Caenorhabditis elegans: one gene and its partners. The protein of the gene in region 1 interacts with the protein of each later gene in a biochemical or structural test. Each region holds a gene or a part of one and is shown in the gene's direction. Other genes may lie near its edges.

Region 1 (6,773 bases):
AATCCTCTTCTTCATATTCGGCAGTAGAGAAGAAGGCTTTCGATTCAGGTGGTTGATAGCCAGTCATTGCAAGAATTTGATCCAAATAGAAAACTTTCACATCAAATGCTCGAGATTCAATACGAATCACATCCATTGAATGATTTTCAAAATAATTCGAGAACAATTGCATATTTCCTTCGATCGTTGCTGACATCAGAATGACTTTGAGATCTGGACGCATTTTTAGACATTCACGTAGTGCAATTAGAAGATAATCTGTGTTGATTTCACGTTCGTGGATCTCGTCCATCACAATGTGCGTTATTCCAGAGGCAACTGGGTCAGATGTGAGCATTCTTAGAAGAACACCAGTGGTACAATATGTCAGAACAGTATCGTCGCTTCGTCTGCAAAGAAAAATGAAGTTGAAACAAAGTGATATCGAGAGAAAAGTGTGAATTACCTGCTATCAAGTCTAACTTGATATCCAACAGTGCGTCCAATGGGCTCTCCACGTTCCCTCGCAACTCGTTCAGCAATTGAAATTGCAGCAATACGACGAGGTTGTGTGACCATCACACGAACATGTTTATTATTTTCGTGCGCTTCATCGAGAATGAATTGTGGTACTTGTGTAGTTTTTCCACATCCAGTTCCTCCACTGATGATAACCACATTGCACGAGCTAATAGATTTCAGCACTTGGTCACAATATTTGGAAGCTGGCAGTGAATTTCTGAAATTTTTAATGTTATAGGAGTAACTATTTATACAGTTTTCACAAACCTGACTTTTTGTAACTCTTTTGAGCATTTTGACTTTGGTGGGATCACCATTCTATCACTAATATGCCCCTTCGTGGTGTGCATTTGTTTTGTCTGTGTCTCTGTCAAAAACTCGTCCATTTCTTCTCTGGTGATCGGATGCTTTTCGACAAACTTCGACAGCTTCTGAAGACACTCGAAGGATGGAGTGATTGGCTCAGTTGCAACAAGAGTTGACTTGGATAGTCTGTTCACTCTCTTCGACAGAATCATGTACCGATCTGGCTCTCTTCCATGAGATTTGGTTGTCATTTCATTGAGTAGCGCGACCTCGTGCATCACCTTTCTCTGATCTCTTCCCATAGGTTCAAGTGTCGTGTTCTTTTGTCCACTTTTCAGAAACGAACGAATGATTTCATTCGCCACCCGTCGATACTCTTTGCGAGTGTCATTATCTGTACCTCGTGGCAAGACCCGCGATGCATCAAACCTGAAAATTGTTTACAGTCATTTGATGATTGAAATATAAGATTTTTCAAAAATATTTGTTTTTTTAATATTAATTTTTTTCAAACAGAACTCACCCGTTTCTAGAACAACGTTTGCTATCAACTCCACCCCGAAAGAATCCAGGTGGTTCGTCTGACATTATGCTGCAATTTTATGAGAATATTCAGACGCAACAACAACGTGACAAACGACGAGATAAAAATCTATCAAGGCTGAAACAATGACAAAAAAGAAATCCCGACAAATGAAAATGGCGCCTAAAACAAACTTTTTTAAAGGACGTCGGGTTTCATTCACAGATGGGTCTCGGAACGAAATCATGGAGTACGGTATCACACACTTGAATTTGAAAGTGAACTTCTTTATTTGTTTCTCTTGCAAGTTTAAACTTAAGTTTTTAATTTTTTCTGCTTGTTTCTCAATAAAATAAAAATATTACTTGATTTGTAGCGCAGAATGGAACCCGATGATTCACAACTCAGTGATATTTTGAAAGGTGAAAAGCTAGAAATCTTGAAATATAGATTTCAATTAAATTTGCTTTCAGATGCAAGAATACCCGATTCGCAGGACATCGGCGTAAATTTGACACAAAATCTAAGCTTCGACACTGTCCAGAAAATGATAGTGAGTTTCCGAAAAAAAAAAATCCTAATTTTCAAATAAATAATTTTATCAGGACGGAGTATTCACTCCAATATTCAGTCAAGGGACTGAAGATTCACTGGAAAAAGATATATTAAAGACGCCTGGGTTCGTTTAAAAAAGAAAAATATGATTTATATTTGAAAATTAATTATTCAGAATTTCAACTATCTATAACGGAATACTGGGCAATGGCGAGGAAACCAAGAAAAGAACGCCAAAGATTTCCGATGCTTTCGAACCGGATTTGAATACTTCTGGAGATGTATTCGACAGTGATAAATCAGAAGATGGTTTAATGAATGATGAATCATATCTATCGGTTAGTAAATGAAATAGGAAGTGAAGAATGCAATGAAAAGGCATAAAAAACTAATTGAAGACAGTTGAACTCTTCTACTTTTGCAAATTATCAAAATACAATCATTAAATAATCCAAAGCTTCAGAATACAACGTTGTCGCAAGTTGTGCTCGACTCCCAAAAGTATGAATATCTTCGAGTACGTACAGAGGAAGAACAGCAACTTGTAATTGAGAAGGTGAGTATTATTGAAATTATATCTATAGAGAATCTAATTTCCAGCGTGCCAGAGAACGATTTATTCGAAAATCGATGAAAATCGCGGAAGAAACAGCATTATCCTATGAAAATGACGGATCGAGAGAGCTTTCTGAAACTATGACACAGAAGGTTACACAAATGGATTTTACGGAAACAAATGTGCCTTTTGATGGAAATGATGAGTGAGGAGTTTTGTATTTTTCGGATTTAGTGGAAATTTTCAATTAAAACAAATATATATTTAAAGGTGGACTGTTGCTTTGAAATCAAGACTGCCGCTGAAAGTTTAATATATATTTTTTGAGCAAAACCGAAAAAAATCCAACTTTTATTTTCTGGATTTGTTTTTTGGGTTTGGAGTATTTTTAAGAAAAACTCTCATTCACCCTATTTCACGGTATTTTCAGATCATCGAATTTGGCTGTAAGAGTTCAATCAGATATGAATTTGAATGAAGATTGTGAAAAATGGATGGAAATTGACGTTCTTAAACAGAAAGTGGCAAAAAGTTCAGATATGGCATTTGCAATTTCATCGGAACACGAAAAATATCTTTGGACTAAAATGGGATGTCTAGTGCCGATTCAAGTGAAATGGAAATTGGATAAACGTCATTTTAACAGTAATTTATCACTTAGAATCAGGGTGAGTTGGCGTTAGGATCAAGGGTGTCAATGTCCCGTGAAAATTTCAAAAACGGGACAACGGGACGTCCCGTTTTTTTGAAAACACTCAAAAAACGGGGCAAACGGGGCGGTTAAAAAAAAGAGTGCATAGTTGGCGTAAATTTTAGTGTATTCGAGGCAAACTATTAAAAGAAACTGCATGTAAGTCATTAATCTGCATGAATTTAAGTCTTGAAACAAAACTCAAAAACAGAACTTTAAAATGTGCAACAAAATCATGAGAGAAATTGTCCCGTTCCCGTGATAATTTTAACAACGGGACAACGGGACGTCCCGTTCCCGTGAAAACACTCAAAAAACGGGACAACGGGACATGGGACTTGACACCCTTGGTTAGGATGTAAATGTTTTCACTTTTTGAAAAAAAATCTCTGAGACTACCGTAATACGAAATAAACATTTATTTTGTGCAAAAAATTCAAATTGAGAAAAGAGGCACTAAGTTTGTAAACATTTTCAGTTTGTGAAATACGACAAAAAAGAAAATGTCGAATATGCGATTCGAAATCCAAGAAGTGATGTGATGAAGTGTCGAAGTCATACTGAACGAGAACAACATTTTCCATTTGATTCATTTTTCTACATTAGAAATTCAGAACACGAATTTTCATATAGTGCGGAAAAAGGTAACGTTCGAAATATGAATATAACGGCGAATTCTACAAAATTTTGGTATTATCCAAACATGAAATATTGTGATTTTTGCACCACAAGTACGGTAGTCTCGACACGACAAATTTTTGTTAACTGTAAAATGGAATGCACCTTTAAAGAGTACCGTAATTTTTTGAAGCTGTTTGTTGCGGATTTTTCATAGTTTTTCGATGAAAATTTATTTGGAAACTCAAATAAAACAACAAAAATAACATTAAATTTTTTAAAATGTAATTAAATGGAAAATCGCAATTTTTGAGAAAATCGGCAAATAATTCCGATGGAACATTTTAAAGTCAATTTTTAAACATTTTTTTCAAAATTTTCAGATCAGGCGAATAACTTTCTTAAATATTTTAACACTATTCTAGTTGAATCAACATGTTCAAAATTATTGCATAATAAATAATTTTCAGGAAGTACATTTACATTGATAATGTATCCAGGCGCAGTTCAGGCGAATTTTGATATAATCTTCATGTGTCAAGAGAAGTGCCTTGATTTGGATGATCGACGAAAAACGATGTGCCTTGCGGTCTTTTTGGACGATGAAAATGGGTAAATTCAGACATAATTTCAAATTTGAAAAAAGAATACTGAAAAAGCTTTCTACTACTGTCCTACTGTTGAAGAAATATGCCTTCCTCTATTCACTTGAAACAGTGTTTCTTTTCTACTTAACAAAAAGTCAAAGATTACTTTCAAATAATCAAAATAATTTAAAATATTTATTCCAAAATAGTTTAAAAACGACATCTACTGTTCTTACTATTTCCAGATAGGGGGTCGTGTAAGAGAAATGTAAAAATTCTAGGCCAGTCTGGAGTCATTTAAAAACGCGGCAATGTTTACCGCGTTTCAAATCAATTTTTTGCTAATTTTTTAATAACACTTATTGCTTGATCTTTATTCATAATCAAATACATTTGTGAATTGTTGATCTTTTTTTTTGAACATTTGTTTTCACTCTTTGAATTGGTTCTTTTGAAAAAGCTCTTTATAATCGAGTAAAATTAATAGTGAAAATCTCTCTTTAAACATTTTAATATACTAAATAAAAACCATTTCAGAAACGAAATTCTCCACGCATACATCAAACAAGTTCGAATTGTTGCCTATCCACGACGTGACTGGAAGAATTTCTGTGAGCGAGAAGACGCAAAACAAAAGGATTTCAGATTTCCCGAGTTACCTGCCTACAAGAAGGCGAGCCTAGAATCGATAAATATCAAACAAGAGGTCAATCTAGAGAACATGTTCAACGTGACCAATACTACTGCACAGGTTTGTCTAGAATATGATTTAAAAGAATTTGGAAAATAGTAAATAACTTCAATTTCCAAAATCATGCCTTGTAGAAATATCAATTTTCTGCCAGAAGAATATACCATATTTATCATGATTCTTTTCAATTTTCTATAGAAAAACGTTTTCTTCTTGTTTCCGTCGAATGAACAAAAACTGAATTGAAATTCGATATCTTATCTCCCAATGACTTCCTTTATGCGTAATGTTTGCTCGACCACAAAGCTTTGAAATGTTTTATTTCGATCTAATTTTTTAAATATATATGCTCTAATTCCCAAGACATTCAATTATTTTCTCAACGCAATATGAAATAAGATTTTAAATTTACAGATGGAACCATCAACTTCATATTCATCTCCATCAAACAGTAATAATCGGAAGAGATTTTTGAATGAGTGTGATTCTCCAAATAATGATTATACAATGATGCACAGAACTCCACCAGTAACAGGTTATGCAAGTCGTCTTCATGGATGCGTTCCTCCGATTGAAACTGAACACGAAAACTGTCAATCTCCGTCGATGAAGAGAAGTCGCTGTACCAATTATTCGTTTAGAACGCTCACTGTAAGTATTTTTAGCTCACTCTTAAAGCAATATTATAATTAATTTTGATTCACAATAAATTTCAGCTGTCGACTGCTGAGTATACAAAAGTCGTCGAATTTCTGGCACGCGAAGCAAAAGTTCCCAGATACACTTGGGTTCCGACGCAAGTAGTCTCCCATATATTGCCAACTGAAGGACTTGAAAGGTATTTATAAAGATTTATAAAGATTGCCGTAATTTCTTTTTTTTGAAGATTCCTCACCGCTATAAAAGCAGGGCACGATTCAGTGTTGTTCAATGCAAACGGAATTTATACAATGGGGGATATGATTAGAGAATTCGAGAAACATAATGACATCTTCGAAAGAATTGGTATCGATTCTTCGAAATTGTCGAAATACTACGAAGCGTTTCTCAGCTTTTACCGCATCCAGGAAGCGATGAAACTGCCAAAGTAAAAATCATATCACCACCTGGTTTAATCGCCTAATTTGTTTTCACAATATTCATCCTTTTCAAAGCACCGCATTTCTCACTAGATACTCAAACTGACATTTGTTCCTTTTTATAATCGCATTTTTTCGTAATAAAGTTTGTTCGTTTTATCAATTCAAAACTAATTTTAGACAGTCCGGCTACGAATGATGTTTACGGAGACAAAACGAGTCTGTCGACGAACATAAATCGACTCAGAATGAGAATGTCACCGAGACTTGAAGAGGTATTTGATACTACAATAAAATCTGCTTCCTTTTTGAATCAAATCTGCACGTTGCAATCGAATCGATTGCTTCCCACAAAGCTCAACTACGTTTAATGAATATCTTCATCATAACGGTAACGAACAATGAACAACAAATAGATTTAGATGAATCCGATCTTGTTGGCAACATCAAGAGCATCGTAGTCCGAAGCCAATCGAACGTAAGCTTTCTTCTGTTGGAGTGGAGTAATCAGGGTGTTGACCTGTAAATTTGAAATATTACGTGAACTGATAATTAGGAACATACCTTAACAGCCTTGACGTTGTAAAGGGCATGGACGGCTCTCTTGATGTGATGCTTGTTGGCCTTCTCGTCAACAATGAAGACAAGGGTGTTGTGGTCTTCGAT
Region 2 (4,986 bases), on another chromosome or scaffold:
TCTCTCCGTCTCTTCTGTCTTCCTAGTCACTCTCTCTCATTAGAATAACGGTCGCTCTCCTCTGACCTTCTTGCCCTCACAACAAACGCACACAAATATCCTTTTCTTTTGCCTGTATTCAACAGAACCGATTATGCTCTGCGTCTCTTCAATCAACTATGTCTCTCATGTGCCTTTTCATTCTGCGTATCTTCTCTCTAATGCACTCCCGTGCTCACCTTTTCCGTCCCTCCATTCCTGTACTCACATCGTTGACACGCCCGAACGGTCGAACGGTCCGTATGAGAAATTGGTTCAGCCAGCTTCCTTCTTTCTACCTTTTTTTTGTTTATTTTGGATAAGGAACTCTGAATTTTAATTTTTACTTAAAATATTTAAACGGCTTTCAATTTACTTTTAAGTTATTGACAAAGAAAAACAATCATTGAGCACATTTCCAATAGAAAGTGCACTCTTCTTGTTCCCACTTCAAACAATTGAAATGTGCGGGAGCAAAAGCTCCAATTCGCTTCTAGTTTTCTCCTTGTAGCGAACAAAACAATGATGTTCTTTTCATTTGGACAAACTTGATTTGTAATTTTATATAATCGATGCAATTAAAAAAAATTTTCTCTACCGCGAACCTATTTTAAAAACTCAAAATAAAATCCTGAATTAAAAGAACCGGAACATTTTTACTTTTTCCTTTTCGTTTCCTGATGACCATTCGAGTTTCGTTAGTGACAAGAGAAAGAATTTGTCGAAATTGAGTTTTCTCCTCTTCCTTCCACTCTTTTGTGCTTGTTCTGCTTCCGAAGCAGCCAATTCTCGACTGAATAGGCCACTTTCGGAATTATTTCAAGTGGACCTCTTCCTTCCTCTATTCATCATGCACTCTTCTACTTCTGCCCCCATTTTCGCTCAATTGTCAACGATTTGATCATCAGAAAAATAATTTTTCGCAACTTCACTTTTTACGGACCATAACTAGCAACCCACATTTACCGGTGTTCTTCTCCTATTTTTGGTCGTTAATCAACCGGTGATCCATTTCAAGGTTGATGTCCCCGATCTCTTTTTCAATGTCTGTGTATCTCTCATTCTACACCGAAAGCCGTTTTGGCATTGTGCCAAGTCTCTTTTTGAAGATATGTGGTACGAGACTGTGAGAAATAAGAAAAGTTTGTTGATAATAAACGAAGCGAATAGAGAGAGGCACAGAGGGACGACCCCAATATCTAAGAGGCCGTGTTTACTTTGGCTCGTCGTCATCTTTCGAACCAACACATGCATACGCTCCCTTGCGCGCGCGCTCCTCTGATCATTCAATCGCAGGTCCTCCTTCTCTTCGTTATTTTTGTTACGGCTCGTTCTTTTTTACGTTTTTAGCATGTGAGGCGTTTTATCAGCAAGTTTGAAGTTTCAGCAAAATTTCATATGTAAGTTATTAACACCTTATCACTGATTAAACGGTATTATTACGAAATGATAATAATTCGTAATTAGATACAGAAAACTATAATAACACGGCTACTTGATAATTTTCATTGTTATGTTTTTGGACTCTCTCCTGATTTTTCTGTTTCAATGGTTCAATTCCTCTTTGATCATTTTTAATGGCGGTGAAATATTATTTTTGTTCTATAATATCTTCAAACCACCGTGTTAATGTGAAAAATTAAAAGAAGTTTGTTTTTATTTTGAAAAATTGAAAATTGTCATAAATTTCACGAAAAAAAACGGTCGAAATTCTCATTTTGGAAATTCAAGCATGGAATTTAGCCAAAATTTAAAAATTCAATTTTTCGTTGTTCTTCGATTTTATTCGTTCTTCTTCTGTGGCATTTCTGAATTTTAGACAATTTTGGATTTTTTAAAGAAAAGTTCAGTATTACGATTCACGTTTGCTCTTTGTCATTTTCTCTCAATCCTTTCAAACAAAATTATACTAATCTTCCCTCCATTTTCAGATCTCAGTTCTCAACGAGATGGTCACGACCAGTAGCGGAGGGGGTATAGGGTACCCGGCAAACAACGGTGTCACACAGGTGAGAATCGAGATTAATTATTTTTCAAATTGTTACAAAAAGGGATTGATCTATTTTTGTAAATCTTATATTCACGTGATTCATGAAGTACGTGAACTGTGACGAAATCATAATTTGTTTAAAAAAAAATCTAAAAATAAAAATTTCAGTGTCGATAAAAATTTTTCAAAAAATATTTAAGGTCTACTGTTAGATTAGCAGATGTTTGACGATTATCCATTTTTCATATTCCAGGTGTCTCTGATTCACTCGTCGGATTCTGTACGAACTGTTTCAACTGCCCCAATATACCGTCCGACGTCATCAATGGCATCTACGATGGCTCATAAATCTTCGACGGCTCCGTTCATCTCCGCAAATCAACGAGTTAGTTTTTTTTGTTTGAAATGAAAAAATGCGGAACAAAATTTTCAAGAAACGGAAATGCTATTAAGATTTTATTAGAAAAAATTGAAAAAGAAAACTCGATAACGGAAATTCTTCATATAATTCAATTGGTTTCTCCCTTCATCTCAACAATCCGTTTGATGGATGATGGCTAGGTTCTGATAATTTGTAGTTTTTTTGCGGGGAGAGTAACGGAATTCTTTGAATTTTTGCATCTCACGCAATTGTATCATCACCTTCCCAAAAAAAGATAGTCAGAAAAGGAGAGAACACCTCAATAGCGTATCTTAGCGTAGAAAAAAGTCATCTAATTTTGATTTGAAGTGTCACGTTTTGTTTTTTTTTTTCTGCCGGGCCATAAGTCAGGTAGGCAGACATCAACGCATCACAATCGCCATAAAATAATGATAAAAATATTATATTTTAAGATAGGTCCTGGTTTGAATTGGTTAAGATTGTCGAAGATCAGAAACGGATAGGAATGCATCAGAGATTATTAGTCTCGCGTGATACCTTCAGATGGATCAAAATGACTTGCTTTTTTTAGTTGATCGAGATTGATTCGGAAAAATTTATACCAATCAAGTAAATTTTTGATGGAAATAAAATCAGTAAATTTTTGATTCAGTTCCAGAATACTCGGAATATGCCTACAAACTGAAATTTCCCAAAAGAAAAATAGAAAAAATTAAGAAAGATCAAAAATTCCAATTTTCAAAAACGCTCTTTTTCAATTTTTTCCCTATTTTAATTTCCTCCAAAAATAAAACTGCGATCAATCAGCATTTCGCTCCGCCCACTTTTTTACCAATCAGACGAAGACGCTGATTGGTTCGAAACTGGGTGTGGCTTCGAGATATGTAAATTCACACTTTTCAAAGTTGGAATTTTTGATCTTTAGTAATTTTTTCTTTTTTCTTTCGTGGTATTTCAGTAAATTGGAATTTTCAGAGTTTTCTAAAAATGTATCCCCATTTTTCGAAATCCTCCTTTAAGATTATCAAAAACATTTTCATAAAATAGTTTAGTCAATATAAAAATTCAAATTCCTGATGATAAATAGTCTTTCCATAGGTTCACGACCACTTTTAGTTTAAAAATTTCTCTTTTTTATCTTTCGGTACCTAATCACCACATATCATTGATAGTAGTGAGTGCTCTTCGTGGATCGGTCAATTGAAAGAAGATGCCAATTGGCGTTCTCCCCTTCTTACTTTTGCCCTCCACGAAATTGAAACAATTTTCTCATCATCTTCATTTTCTTCTTCTCTCGTAACAGAAAGTCTGACCTTTGAAGAGAGACACAGAAAGATAGACGAAGTATTCGTGTGCGTACGCCGTACGCGCCTTGCCGATTAACCTCGATTTATCATTCAAGCTTTCCCCTATATTGGATTCTCCGACTTATTTCTTCATTTTAATTCTCTTCTATTTTTATTTTCTTGACCCACTGGCCAAAAGCTCTTCGTGAATATTAAAAAGTAAAAAAAAGTTCCTCCTCTAGCGTACACGAATATTTTTTGTTGATAATAGACAACAACTGTTTTATTTTTGTTTAATTATTTTATCAAAAAAAATCTGTGGCTGTGAAGGAAAGATCGCCAAAAAAAAACTGGTCAGTCGATTAATTTTCGATTATAAATTTTGTTTTTTTTTTTCACTTTTCACTCACTTCCTTCTCATCGTTGCATAGTCTTGCGCACGTCGGCAACGCGTATTACAACTAAATTAATTGCGCAATTGTGTGAGTGAACGCGTGTGTGAGCGTACGCTTCTCTCGGCTTCTTCTCTTTCAATTCCATCATCTTTCTATGTTGTCGTCGTAGAGTCGCATAAAGTTATAGATGTTATTTTTTTTCTTGTAGTGTAATCGAGACTGTCGTCAAGTCATTATGCATAATGATATGTATTACGTGTTAAGCGTTATTATTCTACAATTGTAAAGTATTTTTTCATCTTCGCGAGGCTGTCGGTGACTGTTCAATGATTGTTGTTGTAGTATTTTATGACAGAAGATACTATTCTATGGTGGCAGCCACTACAAATAATGCCATACTCTTTAAAATATTCTTGAAAAAAAACTGATTAGAAATTTTGAGAATCGCTTCATTTAAGTAAAACATTTTTTTTTGATCGGTCAAAATGGGATACATGTTTGGTTCGCCGAAATTTTTCTTTACTCTCTTCCGGTGTTTAATGTTCATTTCTCTTCCGGTGGCCCGAAAGAGTTCTAAAGCTAAAATGTGACATGTGATATCATCATTTTGAAAACACTTGTTTTTTTTTATCTTCCGTTCGCCAACACGACTTTTTTCTTATTACCACATCTGATCCAATTGAAAGGGAAACCGATTTAAGTAATATAAAAGTCATCTCTTGCATAGGTTTGAAGTGTTGAAGTTTTGACATTTACTTTTTCATTCTGTAACTTTTCGTCGACCAGTTGAATCCTTTTTCTATTCCGTTAAATACATTCAGCTTAGTTTCATGCTTTTCAATACACCAACAACCATCAACACAATCGTTGTCCGAATCGCCTCAGTTTGGTATGCGATTTAATGCGAATTGTCGG
Region 3 (6,213 bases), on another chromosome or scaffold:
TCTTGAGGTCTCTCAACATCTCGGAGACAATGTCGTCAGATGTATTGCTATGGACGGAACTGAAGGACTTGTCCGTGGACAGCCAGTTGCTGACACCGGAGATCCGATTAAGATCCCAGTCGGACCAGAAACTCTTGGCCGTATCATGAACGTCATTGGAGAGCCAATTGACGAGAGAGGTCCAATTGCATCCAAGAACTTCGCTGCTATCCACGCTGAAGCTCCAGAATTCGTCGAAATGTCCGTCGAGCAGGAGATTCTTGTTACCGGAATCAAGGTCGTCGATCTTCTTGCCCCATACGCCAAGGGAGGAAAGATTGGACTTTTCGGAGGAGCTGGAGTCGGAAAGACTGTGCTTATCATGGAGCTCATTAACAACGTCGCCAAGGCTCACGGAGGTTACTCTGTGTTCGCTGGAGTCGGAGAGCGTACCCGTGAAGGAAACGATCTCTACCACGAAATGATTGAAGGAGGAGTCATTGATCTCAAGGTTAGTAGGAAAAAATGGTTCATGGTATTTAAATAAACAATTTATAGGGAAAGAACTCCAAGGTATCTCTCGTATACGGACAAATGAACGAGCCACCAGGTGCCCGTGCTCGTGTGTGCCTCACCGGTCTCACTGTCGCCGAGTACTTCCGTGACCAGGAAGGACAAGATGTGCTTCTTTTCATTGACAACATTTTCCGTTTCACCCAGGCTGGATCTGAAGTGTCCGCTCTTCTCGGACGTATCCCATCCGCTGTCGGATACCAACCAACCCTTGCCACTGACATGGGAAGTATGCAAGAGAGAATTACCACCACCAAGAAGGGATCCATCACATCCGTCCAGGCTATTTACGTACCTGCTGACGATTTGACTGATCCAGCTCCAGCTACCACATTCGCTCACTTGGACGCCACCACTGTCTTGTCCCGTGGTATTGCCGAATTGGCTATCTACCCAGCTGTCGATCCACTTGACTCCACCTCCCGTATCATGGACCCCAACGTTGTCGGACAGAACCACTACGACATTGCTCGTGGAGTTCAAAAGATCCTCCAAGATTACAAGTCCCTCCAAGATATTATTGCTATTCTTGGTATGGATGAGTTGTCCGAGGAAGACAAGCTTACCGTTTCACGTGCCCGCAAGATCCAACGTTTCCTTTCCCAACCATTCCAAGTCGCTGAGGTGTTCACTGGACATCAAGGAAAGTTCGTATCACTCGAAGAGACAATCCGCGGTTTCACCATGATTCTCAAGGGTAAGAATATTTAAACGTTGAAAACATTAAAATTAAATCAATTTTCAGGAGAACTCGACCACCTTCCAGAAGTTGCTTTCTACATGCAAGGAGGAATCGATGATGTGTTCAAGAAGGCCGAAGAACTCGCCAAGCAACACGGAAATTAGTTTTATTTTTTTTGTTATAACGCCGACACTTCGTTTTTCTTTTTTTCAATGTTTTTTGGTAGAGATAAATTTAATGTATAGTTTATTGTATTGTTGCGGTAGTGCTGTTTCCGTCAGACCACTATTTGGTGACTCCCAATACGTTGTTTTCCATCTCTCACTCTCCCTTCTTCGAATTCAACTACCAACCCAAATGCCCTAAAAGGCAACAAAAATAAAGCAAAAACATTATTTTTTTCACACCCCAAGTTCATTTGACTTCTAGTATATTTTTATCAGAAATAAACAGAAAGCCGATGATAAAACTGCGAGTTTGTTGATCGTCAAATTTCAGGTTAAACGAATGAGTAACAGAACGTATGCCGATAATCTGTTTCCACAACAGGTCGCGGAGCAGCATGAGGAACAGATGTCTTCTGGTTCTTCGCCCAAAAGTAATTCTCCCAGCAGAAGTATAAGCTCTGTTGAGGCAGCGAACTCTAGAATACACATCGGATGGATGGCCACAACCTTGGACGTTGCCGAGAATCTAGACCGTCATGTTGCTACTTTCTGTACACGACTGGGAGAGTTCAAGTATAACTTTGTCGTCTACCCGATTGGAGGGGTCGTTCGCGCATTCTGGACGCCTAATGGAAGGTTCACATCGACTATCTTACCCAACTTCAACTAGACTACTAATTTTCAGCGCGGAGAATCATCCACCTGTTATTGATTTGCCCGATGTTCAGCTGAGAAATGATCTCTGGGAAAGCTATGTTGTAGGAAAAGTATGGGGGGTTTTTTTTTTAATTTTAATTACTTTTTCGAAGAACAAGCCCTTTATTCTTAAATTAAAACCTGAAATTGTCATTTTTTTCAAGATTTCTCCATGGATCGACTGTGACTCTTCTGATCCAGCCTTTGCCTCGCTTTCCGAGGAACATCTTCTGAAAGAGCTCAGCTACATTTGTTATTTGGGTCTTCAAACGATGGCAATCGAGCTCACACGCATCTCGTCGCCTCGTACTGCTGCCATTTTGAAAAAATGGATTTGGACTAGAAATTCGCGTTTTACGTAAGTAAAATGCAATATGAAATAGCTCCTTTTTTTCAGTAAAATATTTTTTAAAAAAGCAAAGTTTATATTTATTTTCAGTGTTTGGGTTCAACTTCCGTCTGCAATTGAAAAGTGCAAAGATTATGACGCTTTCACAATAGAACATGTTGATTTATGGACAATTTGGGCCGATTTCCGGAAGAATTGTGGTAATTTCAGTGGTGTTTATTTCCAAGTGGCTTTGACGATCTCTTCGGAACTTCCCGATGAGCTTACTGAGCTTAAACTTGTGGACCGTTGGAAGGCCGAGCCCCTAGCAGCTTTTGTTATCGAATCGGGTCTTTTTATTTCTGGAAGAAATGGAGAAGCATCAATTCCAAGGTAAATTTCAAGATTACATTTTCAAATAAATACTAATTTTTCAGTGCCCACATAAATTTATTAAAACATCTATGGACAACTGATGCACTTCGGATCGTTCTTCGTGCCACAACGGATACATTCAAGTACAATACTTCTATCAAATCCGAGTATTCTCAAGCTCTTCGTCATGCAGTTCGAAATGTTAATTACCGAAGTCGTCCTGATGTTGGAGAAGGATCGAATGACTCCACTCATTATCTTAATGTTATCGAATACAAAGATGTTTTGCAAGCACCTCTTCAACCATTGTCTGAAAATTTGGATTCAGGAGTTTATAATACATTCGAGCAGGATCAAATTAAATACGACGTGTATGGAGAAGCTGTAGTTGGAGCATTAAAAGATCTTGGAGCTGACGGAAGAAAAACTGTTGTCATTTACTTGTTGGGAGGAGGACGTGGTCCTATTGTGAGTTTTTGGCTATTAAGTAGAAAAAGTCCCTTTTAATTCGACATGAAAACATATTTTGTGGCCAATTGAAAACACTCCACCCCCTGACCATGGGTCTCGTTTGGAAGTTGGCGACAAGCCGGAAATTCAAACATTTTGCAGTTAATTTTGCCAATTGTCTGAAGCGAACTGCAACATTTTTCAATTTACAGTTTTTCGGTCTAAATGAATATCAAAACGGGCATTTTTATGCGTCTCCATAGTTTTAAATATTATAAATTTCAATTTTTTTCAGGGAACGAAAATTCTGAAATCTGAAAGAGAATACAACAACACATTCCGACAAGGCCAAGAAAGTCTCAAAGTGAAGCTTTATATTGTTGAAAAGAATCCAAATGCAATCGTCACTCTGAAATATATGAATGTGAGAACATGGAAACGACGAGTAACGATTATTGAAAGTGATATGCGAAGTCTGCCGGGAATTGCGAAAGATCGTGGATTCGAACAACCTGACATAATTGTTTCGGAACTTCTTGGAAGTTTTGGAGATAACGAGTTGAGTCCTGAATGTCTAGATGGTGTCACTGGATTTTTGAAGCCAACAACAATTTCAATTCCACAGAAGTACACTAGCTATGTGAAGCCAATAATGAGTACTCATATTCATCAAACAATTAAAGCTCAAAGTATTCCTTATTTGAGTCGTGCAATTCCATCGCATGGTAGAGGTGAACCGGAATTGGATGAAGACGAAATGTGGATTCAAAAATACCCGTTTGTTTTTCAATTTTTTTATAAAAATATAAACATTCTGCCTTATTACCCCGATGCCAAATTTTGCTAGTCCCGGTCTCGATTAGACAAAATTTTTAAAATTAAAAAAAAAATTCAAACAAAAATCTTTGTTATATGCGAAAACGTGTGCACCTTTAAACTATACTGTAATCTAAGACTTGTTGCTGCAGAGTTTTTATTAATTTTTTATAGTTTTTTTTGGTTGGCATTTTATTATTTTAGTTTAGTTTTGATAAATTGATATTGATTTTTATTTAAAAAACTATGAAAAATCATGGGATATTGAAATTACAGTACTCTTCAAAGGTACAAAAAGTTTCGTATTAACGAATATTTATCGTGTAGATACCGGGTACCGTAATATTAGAAAAAGTATCGCTAAAATTCATGTTGTGGTAATAAATATTTCTGAAGTTTTCTACTCTTGTGTACATAAAGGCCCTGGCCGAGTACACGGAGGTTTCTAGGCCATCTTTTCTTGACGGGAGTATCCGCTCCACAAGTTATGCTTCAATTTACTCTTATTTTAGAATAATTTTTAATTAAAAAAAAAGCATAAAAACTTTTTTTTTAAATTTTAATAAACATTTTCTTTCAGACAAGGACATGTTCGTAACAATATGGATCAAATCTACGTTGTATATCTTTCAAAATACATTCCACTTGCCGAAACCACCAAACCAGTATTCACATTTGAACATCCAAATTTCATGAATTCAAGCAATGAGAGAAGCGATTCTATTGAATTTGTTATGGATAGAAATGCAGATGTAAGTTTTTCAGCAAAAAAAAAAAAAAAAACTTAGAAATTCTTAAGAAAATTTAAAAATATTTTTTCGTTGATTATTTGAGGTAATTTGCTTATATTAAATGCAAAATTCGCACAAATGACAGTCCACCTTTGAAAATAAAACAATGAATTGAAAAATTTTATTGATAAAATATGTGTTTATTAAATTAAAAATCAAATAAGTTAGAACCTAATTTATTTCAGCTGATGGGATTCGCCGGCTACTTTGATCTTCAACTCTACAAAACCGTGATGCTTTCAATTGAACCATCAACTCATACACCTGGAATGGTCAGTTGGTTCCCAGCTGTTATTCCACTTAGAGATCAATTGAGAGTTGGAGAAGGTGACAGAATTTCTCTGAAAATCGATCGAAAAGTTGACAATACTGGTGTGTGGTACGAATGGCATGTTGAAAAAAAGGTAACAGTTTTTGATAACTTATTAAGATTATAGTTGAGTTTTTTCCAGAAAACCAATGGCGAATCTGTGAGCACCCCGATCCAGAATCCAAATGGAGAGAGCTATTACATGAGAATGTAGTGCCTAGTTTTTCGCTTTTATAATTATTATTTTCCTGTTTTAATCCTAATTGTTGATGTGTTATTCACTTTTGCGCCCCTATTGAATTTCCCAATCATTCCTAGAATTTTTTCCGTTGGTTTTCCCATTTCCTGTTGCCCATTTTCCGGTTCATTAATTTGAAGATTCTTTTTTGCTCCGGTATCTATCGCGATTCGATTGTTGCTCCTTTTAATTCGATATTAATTGTTTAAAAATTCAGTTTTTAAGTTTCCGTTAATTTTCCGAATTAAAGAGCTTGTTTTATTCTGTTGTTTTTTTGTAATTTTGAATTATAGTTATTAGTTTTCATACTAAAACATATTTTTATAGAGATTTTAAAGTTTTCCCAATTATTTTTCATTTAAAAATATTTTCAGAATGTTGATAAACAGTTCTCGTTTATCAATTTCTTCAACGGGACGATGTCTTTTGGCATCTGCCATGTCACAAATGGACGAAGTATTCGGAGTACAGAAGAGACAAATGGGACGACGGCAACCAAAGCAGGGAAAACCACCAATTTTGCCTCCATCGAAGAAAGTGAGTTCTATTGATTTTTTCACTAGAACAAAAATTGGAACATAAAAAAATCCAATTTTTGCCGAAAAAAATGCGCCAGCGGGGCTTTTTCCCAAAATGACAGAAAATGTCTCAATATACCGAATATAACTGTTAGAAAATTTACAGTATTTTTCTAACTCCTTAAAAATGGGTTTTTTCAGTCTTGCAACAAAAAAACGTGCAACTTTTTATTGAAAAATTTAGAAGAATTCTATAAATTTTTAACAGTTTTAAATTTTGTTACTCTTAT

What was found. Proteins that work in one complex are often made in the same cells at the same time.
Region 2: of the proteins of cep-1 (region 1) and ape-1, one has a biochemical effect on the other in vitro, tested with the Caenorhabditis elegans proteins (one study listed by BioGRID).
Region 3: the proteins of cep-1 (region 1) and prmt-5 form a complex in vitro, tested with the Caenorhabditis elegans proteins (one study listed by BioGRID).

Annotation. Positions count from the first base shown.
Region 1 is NC_003279.8:8,322,589-8,329,361, forward strand, and holds cep-1 (Transcription factor cep-1), read left to right. Parts: upstream 1-1,706; 5' UTR 1,707-1,712; coding exon 1,713-1,752; intron 1,753-1,803; coding exon 1,804-1,883; intron 1,884-1,935; coding exon 1,936-2,009; intron 2,010-2,060; coding exon 2,061-2,223; intron 2,224-2,348; coding exon 2,349-2,441; intron 2,442-2,485; coding exon 2,486-2,646; intron 2,647-2,871; coding exon 2,872-3,109; intron 3,110-3,610; coding exon 3,611-3,776; intron 3,777-4,220; coding exon 4,221-4,362; intron 4,363-4,874; coding exon 4,875-5,088; intron 5,089-5,442; coding exon 5,443-5,679; intron 5,680-5,744; coding exon 5,745-5,866; intron 5,867-5,914; coding exon 5,915-6,119; 3' UTR 6,120-6,271; downstream 6,272-6,773. Other genes in the region: ythc-2 (putative ATP-dependent RNA helicase spindle-E), read right to left, coding at 1-389, 446-718, 769-1,236, 1,331-1,395; rpl-23A.2 (Large ribosomal subunit protein uL23B), read right to left, coding at 6,526-6,627, 6,672-6,773. UniProt on the Caenorhabditis elegans protein: Transcriptional activator that binds the same DNA consensus sequence as p53. Has a role in normal development to ensure proper meiotic chromosome segregation.
Region 2 is NC_003283.11:11,673,995-11,678,980, forward strand, and holds the start of ape-1 (Apoptotic enhancer 1 protein), read left to right. Parts: upstream 1-1,943; 5' UTR 1,944-1,967; coding exon 1,968-2,027; intron 2,028-2,261; coding exon 2,262-2,393; intron 2,394-4,000; exon of another isoform or gene 4,001-4,205; intron 4,206-4,986. UniProt on the Caenorhabditis elegans protein: Negetively regulates apoptosis via its interaction with cep-1.
Region 3 is NC_003281.10:5,228,838-5,235,050, forward strand, and holds prmt-5 (Protein arginine N-methyltransferase 5), read left to right. Parts: upstream 1-1,717; 5' UTR 1,718-1,741; coding exon 1,742-2,037; intron 2,038-2,086; coding exon 2,087-2,168; intron 2,169-2,261; coding exon 2,262-2,455; intron 2,456-2,536; coding exon 2,537-2,818; intron 2,819-2,862; coding exon 2,863-3,268; intron 3,269-3,545; coding exon 3,546-4,027; intron 4,028-4,646; coding exon 4,647-4,818; intron 4,819-5,042; coding exon 5,043-5,261; intron 5,262-5,309; coding exon 5,310-5,381; 3' UTR 5,382-5,670; downstream 5,671-6,213. Other genes in the region: atp-2 (ATP synthase subunit beta, mitochondrial), read left to right, coding at 1-490, 538-1,249, 1,298-1,398; mrps-26 (Small ribosomal subunit protein mS26), read left to right, coding at 5,781-5,942. UniProt on the Caenorhabditis elegans protein: Catalyzes the symmetrical dimethylation of arginine residues in targets such as small nuclear ribonucleoproteins, histone H2A/H4 and cbp-1.